7 linked regions of the Cricetulus griseus genome follow. The protein of the gene in region 1 interacts with the protein of each later gene in a biochemical or structural test. Links are inferred from orthologs where the notes say so. Each region holds a gene or a part of one and is shown in the gene's direction. Other genes may lie near its edges.

Evidence for each region.
Region 2: of the proteins of Xiap (region 1) and Pten, one has a biochemical effect on the other in vitro, tested with the Homo sapiens proteins (2 studies listed by BioGRID). The link is inferred for Cricetulus griseus from reciprocal best matches to the Homo sapiens genes XIAP and PTEN.
Region 3: the proteins of Xiap (region 1) and Ube2m form a complex in vitro, tested with the Homo sapiens proteins (2 studies listed by BioGRID). The link is inferred for Cricetulus griseus from reciprocal best matches to the Homo sapiens genes XIAP and UBE2M.
Region 4: the proteins of Xiap (region 1) and ubiquitin-conjugating enzyme E2 D3 form a complex in vitro, tested with the Homo sapiens proteins (5 studies listed by BioGRID). The link is inferred for Cricetulus griseus from reciprocal best matches to the Homo sapiens genes XIAP and UBE2D3.
Region 5: the proteins of Xiap (region 1) and Ube2d2 form a complex in vitro, tested with the Homo sapiens proteins (6 studies listed by BioGRID). The link is inferred for Cricetulus griseus from reciprocal best matches to the Homo sapiens genes XIAP and UBE2D2.
Region 6: the proteins of Xiap (region 1) and Htra4 form a complex in vitro, tested with the Homo sapiens proteins (2 studies listed by BioGRID and IntAct, with this or other methods). The link is inferred for Cricetulus griseus from reciprocal best matches to the Homo sapiens genes XIAP and HTRA4.
Region 7: of the proteins of Xiap (region 1) and Tle3, one has a biochemical effect on the other in vitro, tested with the Homo sapiens proteins (2 studies listed by BioGRID). The link is inferred for Cricetulus griseus from reciprocal best matches to the Homo sapiens genes XIAP and TLE3.

Annotation. Positions count from the first base shown.
Region 1 is NC_048604.1:25,910,638-25,914,768, reverse strand, and holds the start of Xiap (baculoviral IAP repeat-containing protein 4), read left to right. Parts: upstream 1-1,331; 5' UTR 1,332-1,359; coding exon 1,360-2,233; intron 2,234-3,414; coding exon 3,415-3,514; intron 3,515-4,131.
Region 2 is NC_048596.1:28,744,195-28,747,694, reverse strand, and holds part of Pten (phosphatidylinositol 3,4,5-trisphosphate 3-phosphatase and dual-specificity protein phosphatase PTEN), read left to right. Parts: intron 1-2,176; coding exon 2,177-2,401; intron 2,402-3,500. UniProt on the Homo sapiens protein: Dual-specificity protein phosphatase, dephosphorylating tyrosine-, serine- and threonine-phosphorylated proteins.
Region 3 is NC_048602.1:25,624,911-25,628,895, reverse strand, and holds Ube2m (NEDD8-conjugating enzyme Ubc12), read left to right. Parts: upstream 1-1,185; 5' UTR 1,186-1,248; coding exon 1,249-1,356; intron 1,357-2,163; exon of another isoform or gene 2,164-2,178; coding exon of another isoform or gene 2,179-2,209; intron 2,210-2,538; coding exon 2,539-2,634; intron 2,635-2,761; coding exon 2,762-2,800; intron 2,801-2,902; coding exon 2,903-3,006; intron 3,007-3,284; coding exon 3,285-3,348; intron 3,349-3,432; coding exon 3,433-3,573; 3' UTR 3,574-3,947; downstream 3,948-3,985.
Region 4 is NW_023276806.1:24,045,351-24,049,542, reverse strand, and holds the start of ubiquitin-conjugating enzyme E2 D3, read left to right. Parts: upstream 1-1,392; 5' UTR 1,393-1,516; intron 1,517-1,599; exon of another isoform or gene 1,600-1,728; intron 1,729-1,958; exon of another isoform or gene 1,959-2,097; intron 2,098-2,969; 5' UTR 2,970-3,119; coding exon 3,120-3,143; intron 3,144-4,192. UniProt on the Homo sapiens protein: Accepts ubiquitin from the E1 complex and catalyzes its covalent attachment to other proteins. In vitro catalyzes 'Lys-11'-, as well as 'Lys-48'-linked polyubiquitination.
Region 5 is NC_048595.1:201,744,477-201,748,762, reverse strand, and holds the start of Ube2d2 (ubiquitin-conjugating enzyme E2 D2), read left to right. Parts: upstream 1-1,486; 5' UTR 1,487-1,595; coding exon 1,596-1,619; intron 1,620-4,286.
Region 6 is NW_023276807.1:58,688,724-58,692,929, forward strand, and holds the start of Htra4 (serine protease HTRA4), read left to right. Parts: upstream 1-1,406; 5' UTR 1,407-1,473; coding exon 1,474-1,960; intron 1,961-2,332; coding exon 2,333-2,432; intron 2,433-3,170; coding exon 3,171-3,375; intron 3,376-4,206. UniProt on the Homo sapiens protein: Serine protease.
Region 7 is NC_048597.1:172,932,988-172,936,487, forward strand, and holds part of Tle3 (transducin-like enhancer protein 3), read left to right. Parts: intron 1-2,193; coding exon 2,194-2,398; intron 2,399-3,500. UniProt on the Homo sapiens protein: Transcriptional corepressor that binds to a number of transcription factors. Inhibits the transcriptional activation mediated by CTNNB1 and TCF family members in Wnt signaling.

The DNA of each region.
Region 1 (4,131 bases):
TACATCCCCCTTTGAGAAATATCTGGATATGTATTCATTGCTACATCAGAATCTTTCATTTTTGCTGTTATTTGAGTTTTAGCCATTTGTTTATTTTGCATTTCACAAACATACTGAGGACAGAATGGCAATGTGGAAGATTCTGGAGAACCAGCTTGTCTTGTAGCTAGGGTGACCACATGTTCTTCTATCTGCTTTGCCTATGGTGACCATGATTCATGCCTGTTATCCTTATGCAATTATTAGTAGCATCATTTAGCACTTTACCATGTTGGAGGACAAACTGTCTTGCCACTCTTCCCATAATGCAGCTGATTCCTCTTGGTATGTTATTTGGCCTAAACATGACATCGTTGTAATTTGGCAACTGTAATGAGTGTTAAATTCTCTTCCATTTAAACAGGCTATTTCTTGACCAACAGAAGTTGATGGCAAAAGTAACTTCAATTAATATCTGTGACTTTTAGAATGTTTAAGTCATTATAATATTTTGTTTAATATTTTTATTAGTTCTTTGAGAATTTTATGCATGGCATTTTGATCACAGTCACCTACCTCCCCAACTCCTCCCAGATCTACCACCTGACTTTGTCCTTTTGTTTAAATGCAGCAAGTTTAATTTGTGCTTCCTATATACCCTTGGGCATGGCCTCCACCAGACCACTTTTTTTTTTTGCTAAGCAAGAAAGTAAAAATATATTTAAAATTAATCCATGAGCATTCTAAACATTCATTTTTAAGTAGTAAAAATTGAACTTTGATGCCTTGAATATGAAATGATTCATTATAACTATTATGCATAGTCTTTAATAATCTGCATGTTTTATGCTGCATTCATGTTTTTCCTAATTAAAGGCTTCATGTGTTTAATATTTATAATTTTTCTGTGTCATACTTTCCATATTTCTATAAAATGAGTACTTAAGATTCGTAATTCTGCTGTTTGTTTACATATTGTTTTCCATCAAAAGAGAAAGTGGGACTGAGATTGAGGCTCATTTTCGGCACTTGCCGAAAATGCCAAAGACCCTGAGGTGGATATCCAGGACTACAATAAATAAGAGAAACAGGCTGGTTTATAGTTCTGTGTTGGAGCATGTGTCTGGCATTGTGTGAAGCCTTAACACTGAAAGAGAAAAAAAACAAAAGCACCAGATTTTAAAACTCAAGTAGTAATGTAAGGCTCTAGTGTTTAGAATTAAATGTGTCTTAGTGATTGTACCACTGTTTTTATGTTATCAGTGGATAATTTGTTAGTGCTTAGTATCAGAAATATGTTACTTTTGTTATGTGTTTTGGATTTCCTAATGCAATGTTCTCTTTTTAGAAAAGGTGGACAAGTCCTATTTTCAAGAGAAGATGACTTTTAACAGTTTTGAAGGATCTAGAACTTGTGTACCTGCAGACACCAATAAGGATGAAGAATTTGTAGAAGAGTTTAATAGATTAAAAACATTTGCTAACTTTCCAAGTAGTAGTCCTGTTTCAGCATCAACCTTGGCACGAGCAGGGTTTCTTTATACTGGTGAAGGAGATACTGTGCAGTGCTTTAGTTGTCACGCGGCAGTGGATAGATGGCAGTACGGAGACTCAGCTGTTGGAAGACACAGGCAAATATCCCCAAATTGCAGATTTATCAATGGTTTTTATTTTGAAAACAGTGCCACACAGGCTACAAATCCTGGTATCCAAAATGGCCAGTACAAAGCTGAAAACTATGTGGGAAACAGAAATCATTTTGCTCTTGACAGGCCATCTGAGACTCATGCAGATTATCTTTTGAGAACTGGACAGGTTGTAGATATTTCAGATACCATATACCCGAGGAACCCTGCCATGTGTAGTGAAGAAGCCAGGCTGAAGTCCTTTCAGAACTGGCCAGACTATGCCCACTTAACCCCCAGAGAGTTGGCCAGTGCTGGACTGTACTACACAGGGATTGATGATCAAGTGCAGTGCTTTTGCTGTGGTGGGAAACTGAAAAATTGGGAACCCTGTGATCGTGCCTGGTCAGAACACAGGAGACACTTTCCCAATTGCTTCTTTGTTTTGGGCCGGAATGTTAATGTTCGGAGTGAATCTGGTGTGAGTTCTGATAGGAATTTCCCCAATTCGGCAAATTCTCCAAGAAATCCAGCCATGGCAGAATATGAAGCACGGATCATTACTTTTGGAACATGGATATACTCAGTTAACAAGGAGCAGCTTGCAAGAGCTGGATTTTATGCTTTAGGTAAACTTAACCAGTAAATTACTTTCCATCTGTCATAGGGCTCCTAAAAAGAAAATCATTGCCTTTAGTCTTCTGAACTAATAAATATTTAGGCATAAGTTTTCAGGATTGCTTATCATTAGTATCATTCTCTGAACTCATATGTTAAATCTTCATTGTCATTACTGAATTTATGCTTAAAAGGCCATGCTATTATGAGTCAGATCTGTATTCATACAGTTGTTTGAGGGTTGAGTTGAGAGAAGAAAAAAGATGGTATTGATTCCTGATAAATAATGGGTCTAATAGTAATAATAGCTGCCATTTAACGAGCATCTACTCTGTATGCTCAGCATACTTATTACATGGATTGTCTGTAAGCTTCACCACAACCCTATAAACAGAGTTAACAGAGAATTTAGGTTGGTTCATGGTAAACTGACATCAAGCTAAGCATGGTGCCACATACCTGTAATTGCAGCAGTCCATAGGCTGAGGTAGGAATGAGTTTGAGGGCAGTTTGGGCTACGTCATGATACCCTCGAAAAGAACCAAAGAAAAAGTAACATCTTTAACATACGCTACATATTTGAAAGCTGCCCTGTATTATGCCTTATTGCATCAGAGTATTTTTGAAACAGTCACAGTATGTGACTTAAAAGCCAGTAATATGGTTGCTTCTAGGAATATTTTATATCTGCATGCCTGGTCCACTTATTTTAAGATTGAATAGTGCTAAATTCAAAATACAAATTATTTCAAATTTTTTTCATTTATATAACATAGTAATCTTGAAGGTCTTTTTCATGTCAGAGAGCTCTATCCTTAAAGACACTTACTTTGTAGTATCTGCTGAATTTTATTATAGTTAACATTTGGAATATAACTTGTACAGATTTCAGTTTGATGAAGTAAGTGTGATAGTAATGACCCAAATGACATGCACTAGAAAGAATGTAACAATTGTAGTTTTTAACATAAAATCTTTGATTTTACTTTTGTTGTCTTCTACAAAGCACCCCATATCGGGATGGTAAATTTAGTGTGTATTTCCTGTCAAATGATAAAGATCGTATCTAGATGGAATATGAATGTTTTCCTTTAAGCCATGAGATTGTATGTAACTTAGACACCTCTTAAATGTTAGAATGGGCATTTTTTGATGCACAGATACACATAGTTTTACGTGCATGTTTCCTTAGGTGAAGGTGATAAGGTGAAGTGCTTTCACTGTGGAGGAGGGCTCACAGATTGGAAGCCAAGTGAAGACCCTTGGGAACAGCATGCGAAGTGGTACCCAGGGTAAGATTCTTAATTGTTCATTCAGGAATAGGCAAGTTGGACATTGTGCAGGAGAAAGATTTGAATTACTTTTCACCTCAACTATTTTTGCCTTCACTATGGCTTGTAATTCACACCAAGTTTATAGAAATGGGGTCACCTACTTCGTAGGCCAAAAAAAAAAAAACCCACCTAAGACTTCTGGTAACCAAAACATTCACTGTTCATATATTATATGAGGGTTCCATTTATAAACACCAAATTACAAAAATGTGTACTTTTTATTTAGTATACTATACAAAAATATATCCTTTTTATTCAGAAGTAGACTCTTTGGCGAGTGACCTGAGCCCATGGTACCATGGGAAGTCCTGAAGAGCTGGCATAATGTATATTATTATTTGTGTTTTGTTTGCTTTTAGTTTGAAACAGTTTCTCACATTAACTCGGTTGGCCTGGAGTTCACAATGTCTTCCAGGCTGGCCTCCATCGTGAAACTCTCTTGTCTCTGTAAAATAAAGTACTCAGCTATATAAGTTGTATGAGTTTCTAATATATAAAATAATACAACTTAAAATTTTAGAAGAACCATTTGAAAAGACTCTTCCTTAAGCAACCCAAGTGTTCCGTATTGGTTT
Region 2 (3,500 bases), on another chromosome or scaffold:
GCACTTGAGTTCTATCTGGTAGAAATAGCTGTGCCATGAGTAACCTCAGACCTTTTTCTTAAGGAGATTGAGATACAGTATTTCTTTGCCGCCCACCGAGTTTTGATGGATTTCTTGTTAGGTTTGCACACACCTTGCCTCATCTGTGACATTGATGGAACATGAAAGCAGAGCCTTTGTGGATTTTTGTTTTTGTTTTATTTGTTTTGTTTTGTTCTGTGATCTTACAAATGACACAAGCCTCATTTTACCCAGTTGGGTTTATGTTTCTTGAGACTGGGCTATTTTACATTTTGTTTCCCAAGATTTGCTGAGAGTTTAGTCAGTATTATTTAGTTGAAAGAACCAGCTATGGAGAAGTGATTTAAAAAAAAAAAAAAAGAGCCAGGTGTTGGTGGCACACGCCTTTAATCCCAGCACTCGGGAGCCAGAGGCAGGTGGATTTCTGTGCGTTCGAGGCCAGCCTGGTCTACAAAGTGACTTCTAGAATAGCCAGGACTGTGACACAGAGAAAACAAAAGCAAACAAAGTGAAAAAAAAATATACTTGAACATGTGAGTTCAGAATACTAAGGCTTGAGACACACTTAAGAGAAGGCTGTAATAACCTTAATCTGGAATGTTGCAAATATTTCAAAGAGTCTAAGGTGCACATGTTTCAGAGAAAGACACCAACTTTGTTTAGAATTGACTGACACCTGTAAAACATGAAAGATTTTATATCACCAGAAAGAGGATTTCGTTTTCTCAATTTTTAGATTTTTAAAAAAGTGATAAAAGGAAATTTCACTTATTATAAAACTTTTAAATGTTAAATAGGATCTAAGTAGTTAAAAGTAAGTAAACAAGATCACAAATTACTATTTCTATCATAGACTCAATTTTCTACCTCTAAGAAAGAAAAAAAAAAAGCTAAGTATGAGCCAGTAGTATTTCAAACGTCAGGTATTTAGAAGGCTCTGGTTTTTCCTCCTACCTCCTAGAAGACTCAAGGTTCATATAAAATTGAGTGTGTGTGTGTGTGTGTGTGTGTGTGTGTGTGTGTGTGTGTGTGTGTGTGTGTGTGCTGTGTGTGTGTGTGTGTGTGTGTGTGTACTTGTGCATGCAAATTTTTATTCCTGATTTTCTTTGTTAGTGTTTGATTGTTGGGAGACAGGTTCTCACTTTGTAGCTCAGGCTGGCCCGAACTGGCCCAAACTCACTAAGTAGCCCAGGTTGGCCTCAGATGAAGCAGTCCTTTAGCGTTGACTTCCTAAGTCCTGTGATTATAGGCATGAACCACCATACTTGGCTTTATATTGTTTTTTAAAATAGATAACTCACTCACTCCTTGTACTTTTAGGAATGTGCTGTTTCTTCCTCCAGATCTCAATTGCACATTTATATACATGAAACTGAAGATTGGATATTTATATTTGTATATCTTAGATTACTTTATGTAAATTTGCATTTATCATAGCTTTTCCTGACTTAGTTAAGTGCCTGTTCTGATTTAAATAAAAAAAGTTTCAGAAAATTAGCACACATCAACAAGCTACATTTTGGGAGTTTAAATAATACCCCCCCCCCTTTTTTTTTAAAAGCAAAGTATAGTTGCTAAGTTAACAACTTTGCTGAAGTAACTGAGATCAGTAAGATTTTGAAAAGACTTGTCATGGGCTGGAGAGATGGCTCAGCATTTAGGAGCACTGGTGGTTCTTCCAGAGGACCCAGGTTTGATTCCCAGCACTCTCATGTTGGCTTACAATCATCTGTAACTCCAGTCCCAGGGGATCTGAATTGCTTTCTGGCCTCTGTGGCTTCCAGGCATTCACAGGATGTACATACATACATATCTCCAGGCAAAATATAGTTGCCATATTTCCTTAGGGAGCTTTTACTAACCTTCCTAGGTTTTCTATTGAAGTAAAACACCTGAACTTTTCTTATGTCTACATACATGTAAATTCAAAACATTTTTAAAATCTGGTATTAGAATAGAAAATACTTTACTTAGAATCTTAACATAAAAGATTATATTTTTATCTGAAATTTGAATAAAAGATAACTTAGTTAATAAGAATGTTGACATTCTATGAGTTGTTTGCCTTCACTTAGAATACCAGATTGTACATGATTTATTATGTTGGCTATTTGTAAAATATTTTAAATGAGTAAAATACATCTTTCTTTTTTAGGACAAAATGTTTCACTTTTGGGTAAATACATTCTTCATACCAGGACCAGAGGAAACATCAGAAAAAGTGGAGAATGGAAGTCTCTGTGATCAGGAAATTGACAGTATTTGCAGTATAGAACGTGCAGATAATGACAAAGAATATCTAGTTCTTACCTTAACAAAAAATGATCTGGACAAAGCAAACAAAGACAAGGCCAACCGATACTTTTCTCCCAATTTTAAGGTCAGTTAAAACCATTTTTGGGGTGGGAATGTGTGTTTTATTCTAAGTGTGTAGCTGAAGAACTTGGCTTCACTCATTTAAAACTAAACCTATGTTAGTACCCTTCAGTTTGTAACATTCCTAAGTGGTTGCCTAGCCTTTCCTTTTTCTATTTATTCCTCTACTGGCTCGTGTTCCTTCTCCTCTTTCTTTTCCTCTCCCTCCTCCTCTTCAGCCTTTCCTTTTTCCTTTCTTAATTCTGTTGTATTTGTTTCATTCACATGTAACAAACTTAAACATAGATTACGAGCATAATAATACTCCTAATACTTAAAATAGAGGTAGACAATTATATGTGTTAAGGGAAAATAGCACTACTATTCAGTGCTTTTGGATCTCAAGGTTGTTTTAAGTTTCCTAGAGGATCCTCAAGTTTTAATTTCCTTTCTTTTCTATAAGTTTATATTTCTCTCAACTGTTTTTCTGTTTTCTGGTTTTTTAGGTAGAGTCTTGCTATATAGGAACTGGCATTCCTCCTGCCTCACTTGGCAACCACTTGCTTTTAAGTGTATTTCTCTCTAGTTTTGCTGTTAATATTTCTCTGGCAATGTACCTGAGTGCTTGCCTAACATGGGTGATGACCCGAGTTCAACACCAAGTCCTACAAAAACAATCACTAAAATACAGTATAAAAAGAAAAAGTTATTGTCTATAAAAGCTATTTTCATTGTAACTGAACAAATATATCAAGGTAAGAACTATGGAACATGCAGAAGATGGCCTGGTCAAATGGATGATATGCAAACAGAGGTCTGAATGAAATGGGCAAACTAGCAGCTGTTTAGAAAAAGGAAGAGTAGATGCCAGAACCCTGAGGCAGCAATGAGCTTGATATATTTGAGTGGCCGAAGTCAGTTCCACTGAAAGCCACAAGAGAACCAGTCTTGATATGACAATGTGGAGTGTTTAGTATAGAAAAGGTATAATCTCAGTTTGTCTTTAAACATTCCGTTTACTCCCTTACATTGAGACTGGCTAGGAAACTAGGGAGAGGTTGCGGATGGAGGAAGGGGAATGAGTGGGAAAGGGAGCCCACTGGCAGCAAGTTCCTGCGTACAAG
Region 3 (3,985 bases), on another chromosome or scaffold:
CCCTCGGTTGCACGACAGAAATCTATTTTAAGGAGCAAGGGTCCCGATGTCCTTGAATGTCTGTGCTCAAGAACAGTACGAGTTTTAAACTAGTTTCCATCCATCGGAATCTGGCTTTGCGATGGGATGAAGGGGAGCCCAGACAACGTCCCTCAATAACGCCCAGGCTCTGCCTTTGCTGAGCCCACAGACAGCAAACACCCATTCTAGCCCGCTCCGCCTAAGCGCAAGAGTGGATGGAAACAGCGGGCACCAAACGGCCGCTACGCGACTCGCTCCAAAAAAAAAAAGAAAAAAAAAAACGCCTGCCAGCCCCGCTTCCTGCTCTGCTGGGTGTGCGCAGCCGCCGGGCCGCCGAATAGGCACCTCCACGAACGGAAACAGCCGAGCTCAACCGAAGAAGGCCGAACCCCAACCGAGGAGCAACCGAAGAAGGCCGAAACCCAACCGAGGAGCAACCGAAGAAGGCCGAACCCCAACCGAGGAGCCAACGGAGGGGAGGGAGGGGGCCGCGCAGGCGCAGCCCGCAGCCGGGGGAGGGGGGGACCAGGAAGAACCGAAGCGGGGGGCAGGCAGGCGGCGGAAAGTGCCGAAGCGGCGGGGGGGGGCGCCCGAAGGCCGTTGCGGACCTCCGCACCGAAGCCGCGCCTGCCGCGGGAGCTGAGCCTCCACCGGTAACCCTGCCGCCGCCAGCGCGGCTGCCGCCTCCTCCGCCTCCCACCTCACCGCAGCCTCCTCGCAGAGGGAGGGAGGGAGCAAGCAGGCGGGAGAGCGGAGCGGCGGAGCCGGGAAGGGAAGCGGCCGCAGCGGGGGCCCTCTCGCAAGACCTGAGCGGAAGAGGGGAACGGGGAGGAGGAGGAGGAGGAGGAGCAGGAGCAGGAGGAGGAGGAGGAGGAGGGCGCGGGGGTGGGGGCGGGGCGGGCGCCCGAGAGCAGGGGCGGGGCCGACGAGAGCCGAGTCCTCCCGAGCGCCTCCGAACGCACCCGAGGCGCTGAGCCAGGCCGAGAGCCGGACTACGGGAGCCGAGGCGGGCCGTGCGGTGGGCGCGGAGCAGCGCGGCAGGCAGGCCGGGCGGGCGGCGGCGGCGGCAGCGGAGGAAGAAGAAGAAGAAGAGGAGGAGGAGGAGGAGGAGCGGGAGGCCGCGGCAGCGGGTCCGAGGAGCGGAAGCGGCGCAGGAGGCGGCCGGGGGGGCCGGGTGGCCGGGGTCCCGGGCCCCGCGGCGGCGGCGGCGGCGGCGGCGGCGACAGGATGATCAAGCTGTTCTCGCTGAAGCAGCAGAAGAAGGAGGAGGAGTCGGCCGGCGGCACCAAGGGCAGCAGCAAGAAGGCGTCGGCGGCGCAGCTCCGGATCCAGAAGGTAGGGGCTGGGGTGGGGTGCGGTGGGTGGGGTGCGGGTGGGGGGGTGTCGGGGAGCCCGGGGTGCGAAGGTGCAGCCGCTGAGGTGGCGGGGCGGCGGGCGGGCGGAGGGGGGAGGGCGGGGAGGGGGTATCGGAAGTCGGGGTGGGGGGGGGGCTGCGCTGCGGGACGGGGGTGCGGTCGCTAGGGAGGGCCGGTCCGAGCCGGGGGCCCCGGGTGAGGCCTTGGGAGGGACCCTGAGGCCTGGAGGGTTAGGGCGCCGGGGATCCGGTAGGGGACCGGGGGGGGGGAGAGTTTGAGAGTCCCACGGGAACTTGGCGGGGGTGACGACGGGCCGTGGAGACAGGGGTGAAGGTTGCGAATCGGAGAGGAGGAGGAGGAGGGGGAGGAAGGACACGGCCTCGGGTCATGATGTTGGGAGACCTGGAGCCCCGGGACTCCGGGACGAGGGGGAGGGGACGGGAGGGGAGGGCAGAGCAGTTTTGAGTTTGAGGTGAAAGGCGGGGGGGGGGGAGGAGGAAAGCAGGTGACAGGAACTAAAAATAAATAAATAGATAGATAGATACATAGATGGATAAAATAAAGATGGGAGTCGGGGTCCATGGAAGCTACTACCATGCTAGGAGTCTTCACGAGTCAGATGAGAAGAAGCGGCGCGTGGAATAACCACCCCCCCACCCCCGAGAAACAGGAAGAAGGACAAGGGGAGGCTGTGGATAGTTGATGGGAAGGGCCGATCTAGCGTGGGAAGGGTCCTCGAATGAGGACGGACGGGTAAACCAGTCGCGAGTGGAGGTCATGACCACGCAGCCTCAAGTTTAGAATGCTCAGGGGCAATCTCTTGGAAGCCAGAGGTTCTTGGGCCCTCACTGCATTGTGGGAAGGGTGGTGGTGGTGGTGGTGGTGGTGGGGATTTAGTTGGGTTAATCAAGGTTGGCCCTTCCCGAGAGATAGGCGTCCGGTTACAACTGAAGATGCTCACGTGTGGGGATACTATGTATCCACCAGAGTCCACCGAGAGACTGGAAAGTGGGAAGAGTGTGTAGGACTCACCCTGCGAGGTGTGAGGCCACCACACGCCGGGGCCCTACAGGTCAGGAAGGAGAACTTGGGAAGTCCTGCTAACACCTGCCCAGACCTTCACGCCGTCGTTTGCTCTCCCTCTCACTGTTGCCTAAACCTAGACATTAACGAGCTGAACCTGCCCAAGACTTGTGACATCAGCTTCTCAGACCCAGACGACCTCCTCAACTTCAAGCTGGTTATCTGTCCTGATGAGGTGAGAGTAAAACGTGGGTGGCAGGGTTCCCAAGAACAGACCCCGGGGTGGGGGTGCTGTCCGCCCATAGAGAATGGGAAACCCTAAGAATGGGGGGTCTTAATTCCTTCTTCGCTCCCTTTCCCAGGGCTTCTACAAGAGTGGGAAGTTTGTGTTCAGTTTTAAGGTGAGTCCCAGGTGGACCGAGGTGGCTCGGTGGAGAAGTAGCAGCAGCTGAGGCATAGCCAAAACACCTGCCCCTCTCATTTCCCTTTTTTTCTGGGGCCAGGTGGGACAAGGTTATCCACATGACCCCCCCAAGGTGAAGTGTGAGACAATGGTTTATCACCCTAACATTGACCTCGAGGGCAACGTCTGTCTCAACATCCTCAGGTGATGGCCCTGCCTCCCCTTTCCCTCCCGAGGCCCACCTCTGCTCTGCTCTGCCCTTTACCGTCTGTGATTCTGTCTTCGCATTTCTACGTTGTCTTCCTAATAGCCCAGCCTTGGCTTTCTCCATGGCCTGCCCCGTTCCATGTCTTACCCCTTCCTTACCTCTCACTCTTCAGGGTTACGGGCCTCCTATGGGCCTGACCTGTTTGGTACTAGCAGGGCCTGTTGAAGCCTCCCACTCACCAACATGTGATAACCTTGATGCTCTCTGCCCACAGAGAGGACTGGAAGCCAGTCCTTACGATAAACTCCATAATTTATGGCCTGCAGTATCTCTTCTTGGTGAGTAGGCACAGGCATTTGAGGCGGGGGTTTGTTGGCCATCTGCCTCTCTTGCCTGTTAACTTCCACTTGTGCTGGCCACAGGAGCCCAACCCCGAGGACCCACTGAACAAGGAGGCCGCCGAGGTCCTGCAGAACAACCGGCGGCTGTTTGAACAAAACGTGCAGCGCTCCATGAGAGGTGGTTACATCGGGTCCACCTACTTTGAGCGCTGCCTGAAATAGGGTTAGCAAATACCCATCCCTGCCAGGGTCACCAGCCCAGGCATCCCCTGCAAATATTTATTGGGGGCCCGGGTAGGATATGTGGGGTAGCCTTGGCCCCTGCCTTGGCCTTACCTCTCCTCCCTGTCACCTGTCCCTAGTTATTTTTTTTTTAACCACCACGTGATTATGGTCGGTGCTGCCTTTTCCCGACCTGCTCAGCGATGGGAAATGAATTGGCCTGTTTAGCGCCCCCCCCTCCCGCTGGGTGCTGTCCAATACCCCACTCTTGACTGTGGGGTAAGTGGGCAATGAGCCTGGGTCACTGGTCCCAGGCAACCCACCCCACCACCACTGGAGGTCCCACCAGGCTATTAAAGGGGAATGTTACTGCATGGCCTGTGCCTCTTCCTTCTGTGGGGTGGGAGGGACA
Region 4 (4,192 bases), on another chromosome or scaffold:
AAAAAAACAGTAAGCAAAAGCCGCCATCTGGGTTTCTCCCTCCACCCCATGCCTAATGTTTGCTTCTACTTTAAAGGGTGAGCCTGAAGAGAGAACAATGGGTTGTTTTCAGGGAGGAGGAAGTGTCAGAGGTGGCCAGGAGAGCATCATGTGCTCAGGGTTTTACTAAGTCAGAAATGCTCAAATTATTCCTATCACTTGGGAGCTTGTTGTAAATGTATAATCTCGGGCTCCTAGTCAGGCCTAATAAATCAAAATCAGCATTTTAAACTAAACTACAGGTGATTCCTATGGACACCAGTTGAAGCAGCTGTATCCCACCGATTGCTCTAGTGACATTTTTAATGTATAAGCAGCTATATGTGTATATATATATACACACACATATTACACACCCTCATTCTTAGAATATATATTAGATCCTTCATCAATTTTTATCATTTAATTAGGGACTACTGTCTGGAACAAGTTTTCAAAATTCAAGCTATTTCCATGTAGTCCTGCAGAATTTCACTTCAAGTGGGGTTATTCATGGGTGCCAGAAAACCCTAAAGCAGGTCCATCCTTTCTGCCTTTAAACGCCTTTTGAAAACTAAAGGCTTAGTTCTTTTTTTTTAACCAAAGAATACACTAGATGACAAACGGCCCTCTACACCTTAACCACGGCGGCCCAAAATCAGGGCAGTGGTACACTTGAGAGATCTCACCCCTGAATGTAATCCAGACTGATTCCCTAATGTTTTACCACTTTGGGGCTCAAAAACTGCAGCAGCACCGGGAGAAAGAAGATCCTCAGGCATTCCTTCCTCTGGCTGTTCCCCACCTGACTGCCTGACGTCGGGACTCTAAGCAGCCCGATCACAATTAAGCCGCATTGTTAAGGCTACGCTAACGCTCGCCCCTCGGGCCGCGCGCGGCTCACGCGGGGCCCACGTGGCGGTGCGAGCAGCCCTCAGCCTGGATCTGTTGTAAATTACCGTTCCCAACCTGAGGGGAGCCTCCTCCCGCCGCTTAGCCCTCTGCGAGGAGCCCGGGAAGAGAGATCTCCATCACCTGGGCCCCCGGAAGCCCGGAGCCCGCTCCACCTTCGCTAAGGCACCGAGTCACCCCGCGGCCCCGCCCACAGCCCGTCCCCCATTGGACGCCCGCGAGGGGGCGGGGCCAGCGCGCGCCGGCCGCACGCACGCACGCCCGCCCGCCCGCCCCTCGCTCGCGCCCGCCCGCCCTCGCCCGCCCGCCCTCGCGCCCGGCCGGCCTGGGGAATTCCATTTCCTCTCCCGCCCACCAGCAGAAGCACTCAGGGGCGGTGCTTTCGGCCCAAGGCCCGCCCAGTGAGAACCTGGGGGGGAGGGGGGCGTGGAGAGTGCTACCGGCGCCTCTCGCGATAAGTTGCGGATTTGGGGGCGGGCCCCAGCCAGGAAGAGAGCACAAAACTGCCCTTAAGTCATTGCAGAGCCGGAGCTCCGCTGAGCCGGCCACGAGGTTCTCGCGAGATCCGCCGCCTCCGCCATACCAAGTGAGGAAACCAGGGGGCCGCGGTAGGGAGGGGCGCGGGGGCCTCGACCGCGCAGCTGCCGCTCCCATCCCCTTCCTCCCGAGGTCTCCTTCCGGTTCTCGATGCTTCTCTGAGTCTCAGGGTTTCCGCCGCTCGCCTACCCTCCCCTCGGCCCATGACCCGCCTCCGTCCCCCGCCCTCCCGGCCCGACCTCCGAGCAGTGGAGTGAGAAGGTGCTGTGCGGTCCGGCCGGGAGGCGGCAAGCGGGTGGCTGGCGCGTCGGCTCGGGCCCGGAGGCAGGGAGGCAAACCGCTGCCCTCAACCCTCGCTCGCCTCGGCTCGGCTCGGCTCGCCCCGCGCGCGGCCCGCGGCTCGCGCTCGCGACGGCGGCAGCGGCGGCGGCGTTGGCGGACGGATACGCGGCGGTGAATAGGCGGGGGGAGGGGCGGAGCGTGGCAGCTGGCAGTAGTTCCGTCAGAGCGAGCGGACATCTTGTGGCTGTGCCGTGCGCGTGAGCCCCGTAGGGCCGGGGAGGCACCAGCTGCCGCGCGGGGAGGAGGCCGAGGCCGAGGCCGCAGCTCGAGGGAGGCCCCGGCCCCTCTGTACGCGTGGGTGGGGACGGCTCGCTCGGCCCGAGGGAGGGCGAGCGGCCGGGGGCCGGCGCGGCGCGGAGCGGCGCCCGGGGCTGTGGGCGGCCGAGTGGGCAGCCCGCGGGCTGGGGTGGGGTAAAGGGGGGAGGCCGGCGCGGCCGGGGCGGGCGGGCGGGGGGGCGAGAGGGAGGACGGGAGGACGGGCGCGGGGGGGAGACAGGGGCGCGTCCTCCCTCGCGCCGGAGCCGGAGCCTGGCGGCCGCCGCCGGCGGCGCGTGGTGGTGAAGGAGGAGGCTGGGCGCGCGCACGTAGGAGCGCGCTGTGAGGCGGAGAGGAGGGAGGCAGTGTCAGGGGCGACACGGAGCAGCCCGAGCCGTGGGCACGGCCGCACACGCGAGCCCGCCGCCCGCACGCCCGTCCGTCCGTCCGCCCGCCCGCCGACCTTTGGAGCGGAAACGGAGAGCAGCCCGGCGCCGCTCCGGAGCCTCCCGCTCCCCTCCCCCTTGCCTTTCTTTGCCCCGGTGACGCCGGCCCAGCGCCGGCCGGTCCGGCCAGCCTGCCTGCCTGCCTGCCTGCCGACTAGGCCCCGGCTCCTCCTCTGCCCGGCCCCGGCCCCGCACCCACCCCCTTCTCCTCCGCCTCTTCCTCTCCCACCCGGGGCCCTTCCTTCCGAGAGGCCGGGAAGTTAAACTCGTAACCTCTTCCCGTCACCCTCGCCCTCTGCGGGGCGAGCCGCCGCCGCGGGGAGAAGCAGTGGTTGGTGGCTTCGCTACCCCACCCCGCCCTGCCCGGATCGCGGCGGTTTGCAGGGATCTCGGAGTCGGCAGGGTTTTCTCCGCGGCCTCTGGCGAGTGGCTGATCTGCTCCGTTTTTGCAAAAAAAAGGCGCCTGTGTCTGGCAGAGCCGCTGGGAGGAGGAGGAGGAGGAGAAGGAGAAGAGACGATCCATCCTCGCCGCTGGGATAATCAAGAGTTTTCGGCCGGGCCTTTGAGTACACATCGGGATAGTGAGGAGCCCGGCGAAAAGCACAGACTATGGCGCTGAAACGGATTAATAAGGTAAGTTGTTGGGACTGACTAATCCGGACGGGGGGCCCTGGGAAGCCAGGCAGGCAGGCAGGCAGGCAGGCAGGCTCGGGCCCAGGGGGAAGTGTGGAAGTGGGGTGCGAGTGTAGTTTATGAGATGAGTTTCTTTAAGTTGGGGGAACTGAATGCTTTTGGCAAGCGAAATGTTAGACCGAATTTCTCACAAGAATTTGTAAATTAATGGGTGAGAGCGTGGCTTTCAGGCACCTCGGTTTTGTGCCTCACGAAGAGTTAGTCCGGTTTGGAAAGTGGAATTGTGTAGAAGCCCTCGGGCAGATGGCATAGTACTGCTTTCCTATTCCTGGTTCTTCAAAACTTATTTTAGGTGTACTATGCTTATAGGCCTTCTAGGAAGAAAAGGAAACATGAAAAAGAAAACATTTTATTCCGAACTTTACTGAGGGTCAAGGTATTATAAACAAACCTCGATTTGCTAAAAGGTAGTGACGAAGTCTGTCCAGAAGCTTAACCCAATCTGGGCAGTTACACAAGACCAAGTGGGGTTGGGAGGAGGTGGACTGACACTGTTGCCACTTCCTGTGTTGTGTGGTCGCAGCTTGCACCCGAAGCTATTTATCTGAGGCACGGGAACTGATGTAAATGCCTTTAGGAAGATCCGTCCGGGGTGGGGGGGTGCTTGACAGTGCAGGAACACAGGATGGACCCACTGCTTTTGCTTAGGACACCCCCTCCCCCCTCCAGCCTTGTTTCAGCAATCCACTATAATTTGATAATTTACGCTGTCGGTTTCAGTTGGGCAGAAGCTAGGATTTTTCGGAGGTCTAGTGTAAGAAGAACTACCTCCTCCGGTGGTTTAGTCTCATTTTATTGCTCTAACTTCTATCCCGCATTTTAAGATGGCGGCTGCTTTAACTGGTTCGGGTTCTTTCCGACACCATCCCTTTTTCTAATAATAGGAAATAATGTTCTCTGTTAACGTTAACTGTTTTTTTTATATGGTTGTAGGGAGTTCTAAGGGTCTCTGCCTCCAAGACTTAACCTAAATTCAAACTCTTGAGACT
Region 5 (4,286 bases), on another chromosome or scaffold:
ATTCCTAAGTTGCTTACTTTCTAAGTTGTTTTTTGTTTGTTTGTTTTGAAATAGGGCCTCACTTTGTAGCCCTGGCTGTTCTGGAACTTGTTCTGTAGACAATGCTGGCCTCAGATTCACAAAGATGCACTTGCCTCTGCTTCCTGAGTGCTGGAGTTAAAGGTGTGCATAACCACAGCTGGCTACTTTCTCAAGTTTTAAAGTCCTTTCCTTTAGAACTGCCTGAGTCTTAATATGCCTCCTTAAAATTTCCTGGATCTTGCTGGACGGAGGCAGGCTGATCTCTCTGAGTTCGAGTCCAGCCTCGTCTACAGAGCAAGCTCCAGGACAGCCAGAGCTACAGAGAGAAACCCTGTCTCGAAAAACCAATAAAGGAAGGAAGGAGTTGCTTTTTACGTACAAGAATGTTATCACTGAGAAAAAAATTAGAAATTTGACACGGAGGCATTTTTCATCACATTTCAAAGAGACCTGGGCCTCCATAATGTTGTTCCTCCTCATTCTAGCATACAGAATCTGGGTGACTTGCTACAATTTTCTCTTTGGGGGATCCACCTTTGTGCTCGAAGAGAGGTGATCAACTTAGCCACCTGCTGTGTAACCTTATCAAAAAATTCTCTCCATATTTTCTTATTCTCCACGGCGTATTTCCTAAGGCTAACACGCCGGTGGCTGTGGAGAGAACATCGAGTCATGGCTTGGACGGGGCGGCCAGTCTCAAGGCTCCCTGTGCAATCTGGTAGTACTAATCCTGCCAATAAATGAAGAGTTGTGTGACCTTGGAAAAGTCCTTCTCTCTTTCAGGAAAGTAGCAGCGGGATTAGGTACTCTCTTCCGAGTCCGATGGTGACTAAACAATGTGGAAAACACGTGCCTTTAAGCGTTTATTGATCTTCGAAGCCCCAAGCGCACAGGGTACCAGATGCTGATTTGCGGCCTTGGCGGAGGAGCATCTAGAACCCGCGCGTAAACTCTCGCGAGATCTCCTCTCAGTGTCTCGCGACGTCATCCCCTCCGCGGCGTGGCTGCGCCGGCGCGTAAGGTACTCGCAGGGGCGGCCCGTATCCCTCCGCCGCCGGCCCGGCCCGGCCCTCCCTCCCAGGCCCGCCAATCCCGGAGCCTCCCGACCTGCCCCTCGGCCTGGGCCCACCCCGCGCTCTGGCGGCCCCACCCCGGCGGCGCGCCGCCCGCCGCCCGCGCGTCTCTTAGTCCACCTGCACCAGGCAGGAAAGTGAGCTTCCCCGGCTCCGTGGCCATCGGGCGCTCTGCGAGCTCGCAGCTTGGGGCTCTTCCTCCCCGGCGGAGGGATCCACGGCGGCCGAGGAGGCGGCGCTGAGCCTACGAGGAAGAGGCAGCTACGGCGGCTGTGGCAGCAGCGCATAAAGGGGCCGCCGCCGGGTGATGCGGTGACCGCTGCGGCAGGCCCAGACGCTGAGTGGGCCTCGGCCCTCAGCTCGTCGGATCCGCGCTTCGGAGCTCCCGGTCTTCTCCGGCCGACTCGCGACCGCTCGGGCGGTCTCAGGCCCCCTCGCCCCGTCCCCGTCCCTCCCCCGTCCCCGTCCCCGCCCCGGGGGCCGTCGCCACCGTTTCCCACCATGGCTCTGAAGAGAATCCACAAGGTAAGAAGCGGCCCGGGTGTTGCTGGGGGAATGGGCCGCTGGGCGAGCCCGCTGAGGAGGCTGCGGCCTGCACTTCCCGCGGTCGCCTCCACTGGGCTCGCGGCGTCTGGTTCCCGCTGCCGGCGCCGGCCCCACGGGGCGGCCTTCACACCCCACTCCCAGAGATGGCGCCCGCGAAGGCTGGAGCGCGGGGACCTTGCTTAGGCCGAAGTTGCTCTGGTCCTCGCAGTTTCCTCCCCGACGCCTTTCCAGGCCCCGCTCCGGCCTGGGACTTGCTGCTCACTAGGGCTATTGTCCGGCCTGGGAAGGGACTTGGGGGGGCGCGGAGGGGGTAGCGGCTGGGGCGTTGGGCGGCCCCTGTGGTCCGAGGTCGGGAGGACTGTTGTCCAAGCTCTGTCCCCCTACTCTGGCGCCCTTCGCTGAGCTGCCCGAGATCCAGGACCTCGACAAGCCGACCAGAGGGCTCATTTGCCCGACCCACGGGCTGTTTTCTTGAGTTCACTTAACTCTTTGGCAGCTAGCTGCACCCTTCAGTCCACCTTACTGGTCTACAGACTGGAGTAGAAAGTCAGAGGGAAGAAAATGCCACTTCGGAGGGAGAAGGGAATTAAGTGGACAAGGGTTTTATTTCGTGGGGTGGGAAACTAACACTTCAGTTTTGCAGGATTGGACCTAGTGGAACAACTGTTTACCTGATAGGGTAGAAGCCAGTCAGTTCAGAAAACCGAACGTTGAAAACCGCCAGAGAAATTGCTTTCACAGACTTCTCCCAAAATGATTTTAACGCTAAAATTAGATGGTGTATTCGAGAAGACTCCTAATTTAGAAGGGATTTTACTCTATTTTTGGGTAGAAATAGTTTTAGTTGTCTTAAGTGAAAGGTTATCCATTTATTTGTTGATAAGATTTAACACTACAAGGAGAGCATAGGCTTGGCTTAAACTTTAGGGTTTCTCACCCCCCCCCCCAATCTCTTAGTGTCACTATATTTCCTTGGACGTAAGAAGTCGCCCACTGTGAGTTTTGTTTGGTGTTTTATTTGGCTCCTCAGGTGGGCCATATTAAATCTTTACCTTATTAGTAAGTGGTGGGACCTGGGATTACCCATACGGGCTGATGAGATGGGGATACAAAGAATAGAGAAGGAAGTCAAAATGCAGATTGAAAGATGGAATACCACAGTTGAGCAATTGGCCCTCTTTATTCAAGGCTTGGAATGTGGAATTAATTCCATTCCTTACTTCGAATTAGCGCCTTACCAACTTTTGGTTTCGTTGCTTTCTTAGAAATCAACGGATAGCCTTTAGCAGTATGTCTTGTACTAAGATGAAGCAGGGTCTTTGCTAAAAGAAGTATGAACTTTAGTAAAAAAAACAAAACAAAAGAAAACCCTTGAAAAACCTTGTGAGGGATAAACATCCAAGTAATGTGTGTGTATTTTTGTTTTTGTTTTTCGAGACAGGGTTTCTATGTGTGGCAGCCCTGGTTGTCCTGGAACTCTCTTTGTAGACCAAGCCGGCCTTGAACTCACAGAGATCTACCTGCCTCCTGCTAGGATTAAAGGCACCTGCCACTGCCGCTGTGGGTGTATTTCTAAGACTTCAGCAGTCATATAATATAGGGTCTTATAGAGTCTGATGGGAAGCTATTGATTTGAAATGCTGTTTGAAATATACCTATAGAAGATTGTCCTCCAAGGCTGGGAGAGAATGTGAGTTTGATGTATAATAATTTGCATCGATAGTTTTAATTTTTTTTTTTTTTTTTTTTTAGGTAGGGTCTTCCTAGCTCTGTTGGCTTGCAGCTTACTATGGTGTAGACCAGGCCGGCCTCAAACTGTTTCTGCCTTCAGAGTGCTGAGATTAAACTAGAAAATTAATGGCTTTTAGTGTTTGTATTAATATCTGCTATAGAGACTTCTTCAGAGAGGGAGATAACACTGACTCAAAACACACATTTAAATCTTTTTTGGTTTTTCGAGACAGGGTTTCTCTGTGGCTTTGGAGCCTGTCCTGGAACTAGCTCTTGTAGACCAGGCTGGTCTCAAACTCACAGAGATCCTCCTGCCTCTGCCTCCCAAGTACTGGGATTAAAGGCATGCGCCACCACCACCTGGCTATATTTAAATCTTAGATTAACATCTGCCCCTAGCAATATCTTCTGTTTTTGAGATAGGCTGTCACTGTGTAGTTCAGGGTGGTGTTGATCCTGAGTACTGGAATTCAGGCATGTACCAGCACACCTGCCACCACTAAATCTTTTTGTATAGTACTAGGGATTGAACTCAGGATCTTAACGTATGCTAAGGCAAACACTCTGCTACTGAACTACATTCCCAGTTCTTACAAATCTTTAAAAAAGAAATCGGGTTTAGAAATGATCATTTGACATTTAAAGGGGTGTGTCTGTGTGTCGGTGTCTGTGTATGTCTCAGCCATAATCCTCGAATTAGAGGATAACTTTGTGAAGTCTATTCTTTCACCTTTTCATGGGTCCTGGGGATTGAACTTTTCTTCTTCCAGACAGGGTTTCTCCTTGACTCAGACCAGGATGGCCTTGAATTCACAGATAATCTGCCTGCTTCTGCCTCTCCAGAGCTGGGCATAAAGGCATTCGCCACTACCATATGTCTGTTTTGTTTTAATAAACTTTTTTTTAAAGATTTAT
Region 6 (4,206 bases), on another chromosome or scaffold:
GCCTGAGTCTTGCTATGTAGTCCAGGTTGGCTTTGAACTGGTAATGCTCCTGCCTCCACCCTGCTTCCCGACTGCTTGGATTACAAGCATGTACCACCATATCCAGCCTATCTCAGTATTTTAATGTAAGCCAAAGATAGTGCATAAACTAGTTTTCAATGTATAAAATAGAACCCAGTGTGTGTGTGTGTGGAGGGGGAATAGGGTGTGATACAGTGTGGGTTTGTGGTTAAGCATTTATTGTGGATAAATCAGAAGGGATTTCTGAATTACTAAAGGTACTGTGTTTTTGTTTTTGTTTTGTGTGTGTGTGTATGTGTGGAATAAAAGCAGTCTCTGGGGTTAGGTCCTTCTTCAAGGCTTCTCAGAGAGTGTCCTCAGCACCTGAAGGACTCACCATCCAGTAGCCTTGAAAGGTTTGATGGACTTGTTTACCAAGGTCAGGTGATAGCTGGCAAAAATAGTGTGTCATTCTGTGAACCCTGATGAGAATATGGAAGACCACAGCCTAGGGAGGGACTTCAGGACAAAGCAGTGGAATGACACCTCTACCAAGTAGACATTCTCTCCCAAGTAGAATGATGAGCTTCTGGGGAGAGATTTAAAGCCCAGTGTCTTAGTTCAATGGAAGCAAACTGATTTTGTTTCCCTCTTGAAATATAAATATGCTCTCTTTAGGACTAAAATGACTCCCTGAATAAATAACAGATCAGTTGTTGAGCAGTGGATTTGATGTCTTCAATGTTAACCAAATAAACAGTCATCTGGTAGCAAATGGCAGCGTTTTGGAAATTAAGTTTCCCATGTCACCACTTTAATTTTGAATTTTTTTCCCTCTAAAATCTGTTTTCCTCAGATCTCTCCTCCCCACCCCCGCCAGAGTCAATTACAGTCACTCATACTAGGTAGGCTTTGAATACAGTGAATGTTTGGCAAAAACACACATCGTGACCCCTTGGTCCTCTGTTTATGAAGGTGTGGCATGGCCCGTTTGGGCCAGTGTTTGAGCTGTGAAACACCTCTGAAAGCACTGAGCTGAGTGCATGGAAACTCCAGCTTCTTATGTTTCGAGATTTCCTAATTGGTATGTAGCAAAACGTAATTTTCTAAAACTGTTTGGTTGCTTGTTTTTGTAATAAAAACATGTGAAATATGAAATCTGGTTGTTTGTTTTCTTGGTCAGATCTCGTGGCCGTGGGTGAGTGGTCACGTTTGTCACTTGCCCCATGACTGGTTTTAGAGTAGACCCTCCCTCCCTTTTATGGCTTAGAGGTGGGTGGCCCTGGCCCTGGGGTGGTTTGGGTGGTGGGTGATATATGGGTGTGGGTGTGAGCAGAAGTAAGCCAGACACTGTCCTTTATAAAGTCTGGAGTCTGGCAGGGTAGGCACCCAGGCCAGGAAAAAGGATTGCTCATTTTAGACCAGTTGTGAATTTTGAGTGAAGTAACTGGAAAAGTAGAATCCAGGAGGGCCATGAACAAGATGAGCTCCCAGCCGCTGTGGACCATGTGGGCACAGTTTCTCCTGCTGTGGCTGCTGCTACTGCCTGTTCCCTGGGCAGAGACCAGGAGGTCCAGAGGCTCGATGCCCTGTCCGGTGGCTTGCGATGCCACACGCTGCCCGCCACTGCCCACCTGCTCGACCGGCACGGCGCCGGTACCCGACCGCTGTGGCTGCTGCCGCGTGTGCCCTGCGGCAGAGGGTCAGGAGTGTGGCGGGGCGCGGGGCCGACCGTGCGTTTCGGGGCTGCGCTGCGGTGCCCCATTCTCCCGGGAGCCTGCGGGGGGCGCATGGCTGGGCACCTGCGGCTGTGTGGAGGGCGTGGAGGGCGCGGCGGTGTGCGGCAGCGACGGACGCACCTATCCCAGCCTGTGCGCGCTCCGGAAGGAGAACCGAGCCGCGCGCCTGCGGGGCTCGCCCCCGGCAGTGCCTGTACAGAAGGGAGGCTGCGGGGACACAGGTGAGCGAGGCTCAGGGCACCCCACCACCACACTCCCCACTCCCCGACACTTCTGAGTCTTCCTAAGAAGACTCTTAGGAAGTCTTTCATCTTCCTAAGAAGATGAAATGGGGGCTCTTTAGTTCTCTCGGTCTACCCTCCTTTGCCAGCTCCAAAGATTCAACCTGTTGTGGTTGTTCCTGGTGTTTTGCCTGGTTAATGTGGTCTCTACTGGTTGCTACGGGGATTCTTTCTTCTTTTCTTCCCTTTGGTATGCCTTTCATCCACTAGTCTGCGGAGGAAGGGGGACGGAGAGATGCTGGGAAATTTTGAGATGTGACACCTGCATCCAGGGAGCAGTGCCTGCCCTCACCATGGACCGTTTATTCACAGGGACCAGAAGTGCTGGGAGGCTCCGGAGGAAGTTTAACTTTATTGCCGCAGTGGTGGTGAAGGTGGCGCCATCTGTGGTTCATTTGCAGCTATACCGTAGGTAAAGGTCACACCCTGGGGCCAATTACCCCACTTGATACGCTGTGAGGAAACCCAGGTTCAAAGAGTTGGCGGGGTACAGCTGGGCAGTAGAGCTCATGCGAAGCATGTGGGGGAAATCTTAGGTTCCAGCCCAGTACCCGAAGAAAAATTATTAAGAGCTATTTTGCTAAAGAGCAAAGAACCAAGCATGAGGATTTTGGCTTCTAAATCCAAGCTACATCGGTGCACGTTGGTGGCTCGGGTTTCTTTCTCCCCCATACCCAAGCAAAACTTAGGGCTGATTAGAGGAACTAGTCAGCATTTGGTGGTCTCATTTAGCCCTAGCCATCACTTGCGTGCAAGTAAACCTGGATAGACAGAAAATTAACTTGTTCTATTTTACTACACAAGTTGGTAGTGGAAACTAAGAGCTAGATTTTGACACTGTGACAGGAGTGTGACCTGTTAACGCCAGGTTTGGACTCTTTGCAGCAGATGGCCCCCAGGTTGCCACTCCTGCCCTATTTGAAGGAGGAAGCAGTGTCCCAGCTCTGAGTTGTGTTCAGAAGAGATAGATGGCCAGGACATGCTACATGCCGCTCATATATACATGAAGAGAATAGAAGTAGACAGGGAAAAGGAACATACTTGTGAAAACTGGAGCTATGGTTGATAAATGTGAGGCTTGCTGAGACTCACAATGGATGGATTCCCCAGTTCCTGCCTTTGCTCATACTATTGTCCTGTTCCGGGACAGATCACCTCTTACCAACCAGGAAATCCCTTCCTCCAGTGGCTCTGGGTTCATTGTGTCTGAGGATGGGCTCATCATCACCAATGCCCATGTCCTCACCAACCATCAGAAGATCCAGGTAGAGCTCCAGAGTGGGGCCCAGTATGAAGCCACTGTCAAAGACATCGACCATAAACTGGATCTTGCACTGATTAAGATTGAGCCAAATGTGAGTTGAGAGCTAAGGCGGGGTCTTCACATTTGGGGATTTCACAGTTTATTTGCCGGTATTTCATTTTGTATTCCTTCACTATGCCTTTTCTTTGTATGTAAGGTATGTTTTTCTTCCTCTCCTTCTCCTTTTCCTCCTCCTAGAACAAAGTGATGAGTGATGTGGAGATTAAAATTTAGAGTATAACAACCTCACATTCCCTCAATGCCCCCCATTCCCTGTTACACTTCTGTCCCCACCTGTTGAGTTTCCAACCCCTCCTCAGGAAATGAAGAACCTAGTCCCCAAAGCCGCTGGGGTACAGACTCCAGGTTCTCTTTGCCTACCCCCTTTGGTCTACCCCCATCCCTGGGCAGTGCAGGTGACTCAGTCTGGAACGTGTAGGAGAACCCAGAGTGGGGACAGGGAAGGGAGGAGAAGGCTTAACCTCAAGAAAAGAGATGGCGTACCTCACCAACCTCAGAGTAGAGGAGGGTGAAATTCAGACTCCTACACCTGGGGTACCAATAGGACTGGTACAGAGGAAAGGACACAGCTCCCCCTAGGTCCCAAGGAAGGGAGACCCTGTAGCTTCACACTCCTTCCTTTGGAAACAGTCAGTGATTGTTTGCCCTTCTGGGGTGGGTTACAGAGCCAGGCTGGGCCACATCCCCCTCCAGCCAAGGCTGTTCACAATGAAACTGATCTCTTGCAGGGCAGACTCTTGAACTGCAGGGATGAAATCTCCTGGTGTCCATTCACTCTGTTCCTGAAATTCATTTACTTCCTCATGCAGGCCTGTACCAGGGTCTCTGTTTCACCTCTCTCCTTAGGTTCTCATTTTATCTG
Region 7 (3,500 bases), on another chromosome or scaffold:
CTAGCCATGCTGTGGAATACTAAATAGTCATTCAAAAGGAAAGTTAATTTTTTTTTCTTCAGAACATTTTTTAAATCGGGGCCTATAAATAACAGCATGATCAACAAGAGCTCATTTGTGGAGAATCACACGGAAAATTGTGAATCTGAAAAATCTGGGTTCCAGACAGACTGACAATGGCTCGTGAGGGTGGGATGAACAGGGACCTTAAAAAGAACAAAACTTTTAAATCTTAAAGAAAATCTTGTTTTCTTAACAATGAGCATGTGTTATTTTGTGAATATGTTAAAAATTCATTTTCTTTAAAAGGGAAGGTGGGGAGCTGTGTTCGGCTCCCGTGTGAAAGTTCAGTGTTAGCCAAGAGGACTGGAGGTCTGCCTGGCACACCATGATTCTGCTCCCTTACCTTAGTTCTGCTGTGACACTAGCAAACCTAGAGTCACATCACTCTTAAGACCAGTGGCCACCAAAAGCTTGCACAGGTGCCTAACAGTGGGGTTATCGCAGGTCCTCTGTGGTTCAGGGCACTGGCTGTGGGTAACAGTCCTATAGATAGATCTAAGGCATGGAGCCTTGGGGGCCAGAAGTATAAGGCTGCCACAGCAAGCTTGACTTAGAGGTAGAGCAAGGTCAGCAGTCTGGAGGGATCCTGGAAGCTTTTAATCATCGACCAAATATCTGTAGGAATTTCCCAGATTTGAGAGCGCTATTTCACAGGTCCAAGCTCCCTCAGCCCGTGCTGATACCTTGGCTTATTACATCATTGCTGTATATCTGCCTTCATCTTGTCCCTCGTGCTTTGAAGTTCTTTGGAATACTCTGTAGACGGTGTTAGTGGTTGACAGAAGAGTTCAAATTACATTTAGGAGTCACGGGACTCCAGCTGCCCACTCCAGTGCCCCTTTATCAGTTTATAGTCTGTAAAAATGGGCACAACCCTTCCTCCACTGGGTGACTGTTTGAATTACAGGATCTTTTTGGATAGTGTCCAGGGATTTTATATGCACATACAAATGGCCTTGGTTACTTTTTCTGGGACTAGTCAAGACAAAAGATGTGTGCATGGGTGGAGACAAGCATACCCAAAGGCCCAACCAGTCCCAAGAAATATTTCCATCTCTGAGAAATATTTGATACCATATAACCAGTCCCACAATGCCAGGGGTTCTTGGCATAGTCTTACGAATGAGGGAGCATTCCATCTTGGCTGCTGGGGGAACATGGAAGCTTCTGAGCTGGGAGCTTGGGATTGGGGGCAAAATGAGATGAGCAGCCTCAATGCTGGCAGTGGGAAGAGGCGTCAGGCAGCAGAGTCCTGGGTTAGGTGTGGGGAGGAACAGGAGCATGGCTGTTATTGTGTGGCTGGGAGTACTCAGGTTGTTACAACAGCGGGAGAGCCCTTTGAGAACTCCGTGCAAGTGTGGAAGTGCCAGTGACTGCCATGAAGCCCATTGAGCAGTGGCTGCGTGCCCAAACCCCTGTTACCTTATGTAGTCCCCTGTAGTAGGTGCTGCCTCCCCCCTTGTGCAGATGAGGAATTTGAGGCTTAGGGAGTTGATTCCTTCCCCCAGCTGTGCAGACAGTAAGTGCCAGAACAGGGACATAGCTCCTGACCCATCTGGTTTCAAGGGCTCTCTGCTCTCCCCGGTTCTGTGGCTCTGTGTTCTCTCTACTCTGATGGCCGAGGACATCAGCTTTCATTTCACCAGTCCTGGTACTTCTCTGCTCTGGCCTACCCTGTCCCCACTCTGCAAGCTTTGGGTTTCTTCAGGATCATGGAGGCTTTGCCCAGGTTCCAGCTTTGGGTGGGAGGTGCTGGCTGCTGATGTTAAAGGCATGTATGCATGAGCTATGAGCTTAAAAATGGGTTCCTCTCAATTGAAAGGAAGCCCTGATGACCCTGTGGGTTTTAAACGCATGCATTATTTATCTTGGGCTTGGAAACAGGCATGGGAAACTGTCCTGAAACTGGAGGGGGAGGTGGGGGGGGATGACGCTGGAAGACATAAATCTTCTACGTTGCAGTCCATTAACAGATTTTGTTCAGCAAAATGAGCATGTGGGCTGAGCGGGCAAGTGGGGGGGGTGTTGTTTCCCTGTCGCTTAACGGTAGAGGAGCGAGGGGGAGGGGCAGAGGTGACCCATCCTCTGCCCTGTCTGACCTATCATCGCTTACCACCAACTTCATTGCAGCAGCAGCAACTCCAGGCACAGCACCTCTCCCATGCCACGCATGGTCCCCCGGTCCAGCTGCCACCCCACCCGTCAGGCCTTCAACCTCCCGGGATCCCCCCAGTGACAGGAAGCAGCTCCGGGCTGCTGGCACTCGGTGCCCTGGGCAGCCAAGCCCACTTGGCAGTGAAGGATGAGAAGAACCACCATGAACTGGATCACAGAGGTGTGGCTTTGGGTGGGCAGGTGTGGGCAGGGTGGGCTGGAAGACACACCATGAATAGACATGGCAAGTCCTGTCACCTAGAGTCTGGAGTTAGCCAAGACTTGGATCCATCTGTTGAGTCCTTCGACCCAGTGACCTGTCCTAGAGGCAGTCTATCTAGAATAGCCCCCATCTTCCCAATTGCACCCTGCCTGTTCTTTAGGGCCAGGCCACCATGTCCTTCAGGATGCTTTGGTGATTGGATGAGGGCCTTTTCAAAAGAGCTTGTGTTGGGGCCCCTTGGTAGCCTTTTGTTGCTGCCTTCCTCTATCCAGTCAGGTTCTTAGTAGTGCAGAAGGTACACTACTCAAGCGCTGCTTGGGGTTTTGCTCAGTTGGTAGGGTACTCGCCTAGCATGTCTGAGCCCTGGCTTCATTCCTTGGCACCATACAAACTAGGGGTGGAAGGGCATGGCTGTAAGCCCAGTACTAGGAGATGGAGACAGAATGCAAAAGTTTATGGTAATTCTCAGCCGTATAGTGAGTTCAAGGTCAGCCCTGGGTATTTGAGACCCTGTCTCAGACTAGTTAGTGGGCCATCTTATGTGCTGGTCTCGGCAATACTCCAGCTGGAGTCTAGAAAGTCGAGGAATGACAACTCGTTTCTGGTTCCCCCTGAAGACCCAGGGAATAGCACTATTAGGGGTCAGGAGGACATCAGAATTAAAAAGGACCTGACCCCCGCCCCCCACCATGCAGCCCCTTAATAAAGTTGCCAGCTTGTACGTTTGTTTGGCTTTTAGGTATTTACTGGGCCACATGGCCAATATCTTCCCAGCTCCCAGGGACTTTGGGGGAGGAGTCACCATCCTAGCCCTAGTCCATGCTGTATCCTAGGAACCAGAGACCAACTGTTTTGTGCCTTCTTGGCAGAGGAGGAGAGGACCATGGGAGCTGGTGCTTAGCTGGACTGGTGTAACCAGAGGCCTAAGCGTCTGGGGGCTTTTTGGCAAAGATATGGAGAATGGTGTTAAGAAAACAAAACAGTAAAAGTCACTCCTAAATTCCATTGGATTTTTTTTTTTTCTTAAAGCAATAACCTTCCTAGCTCTAGAAAGTGCAGT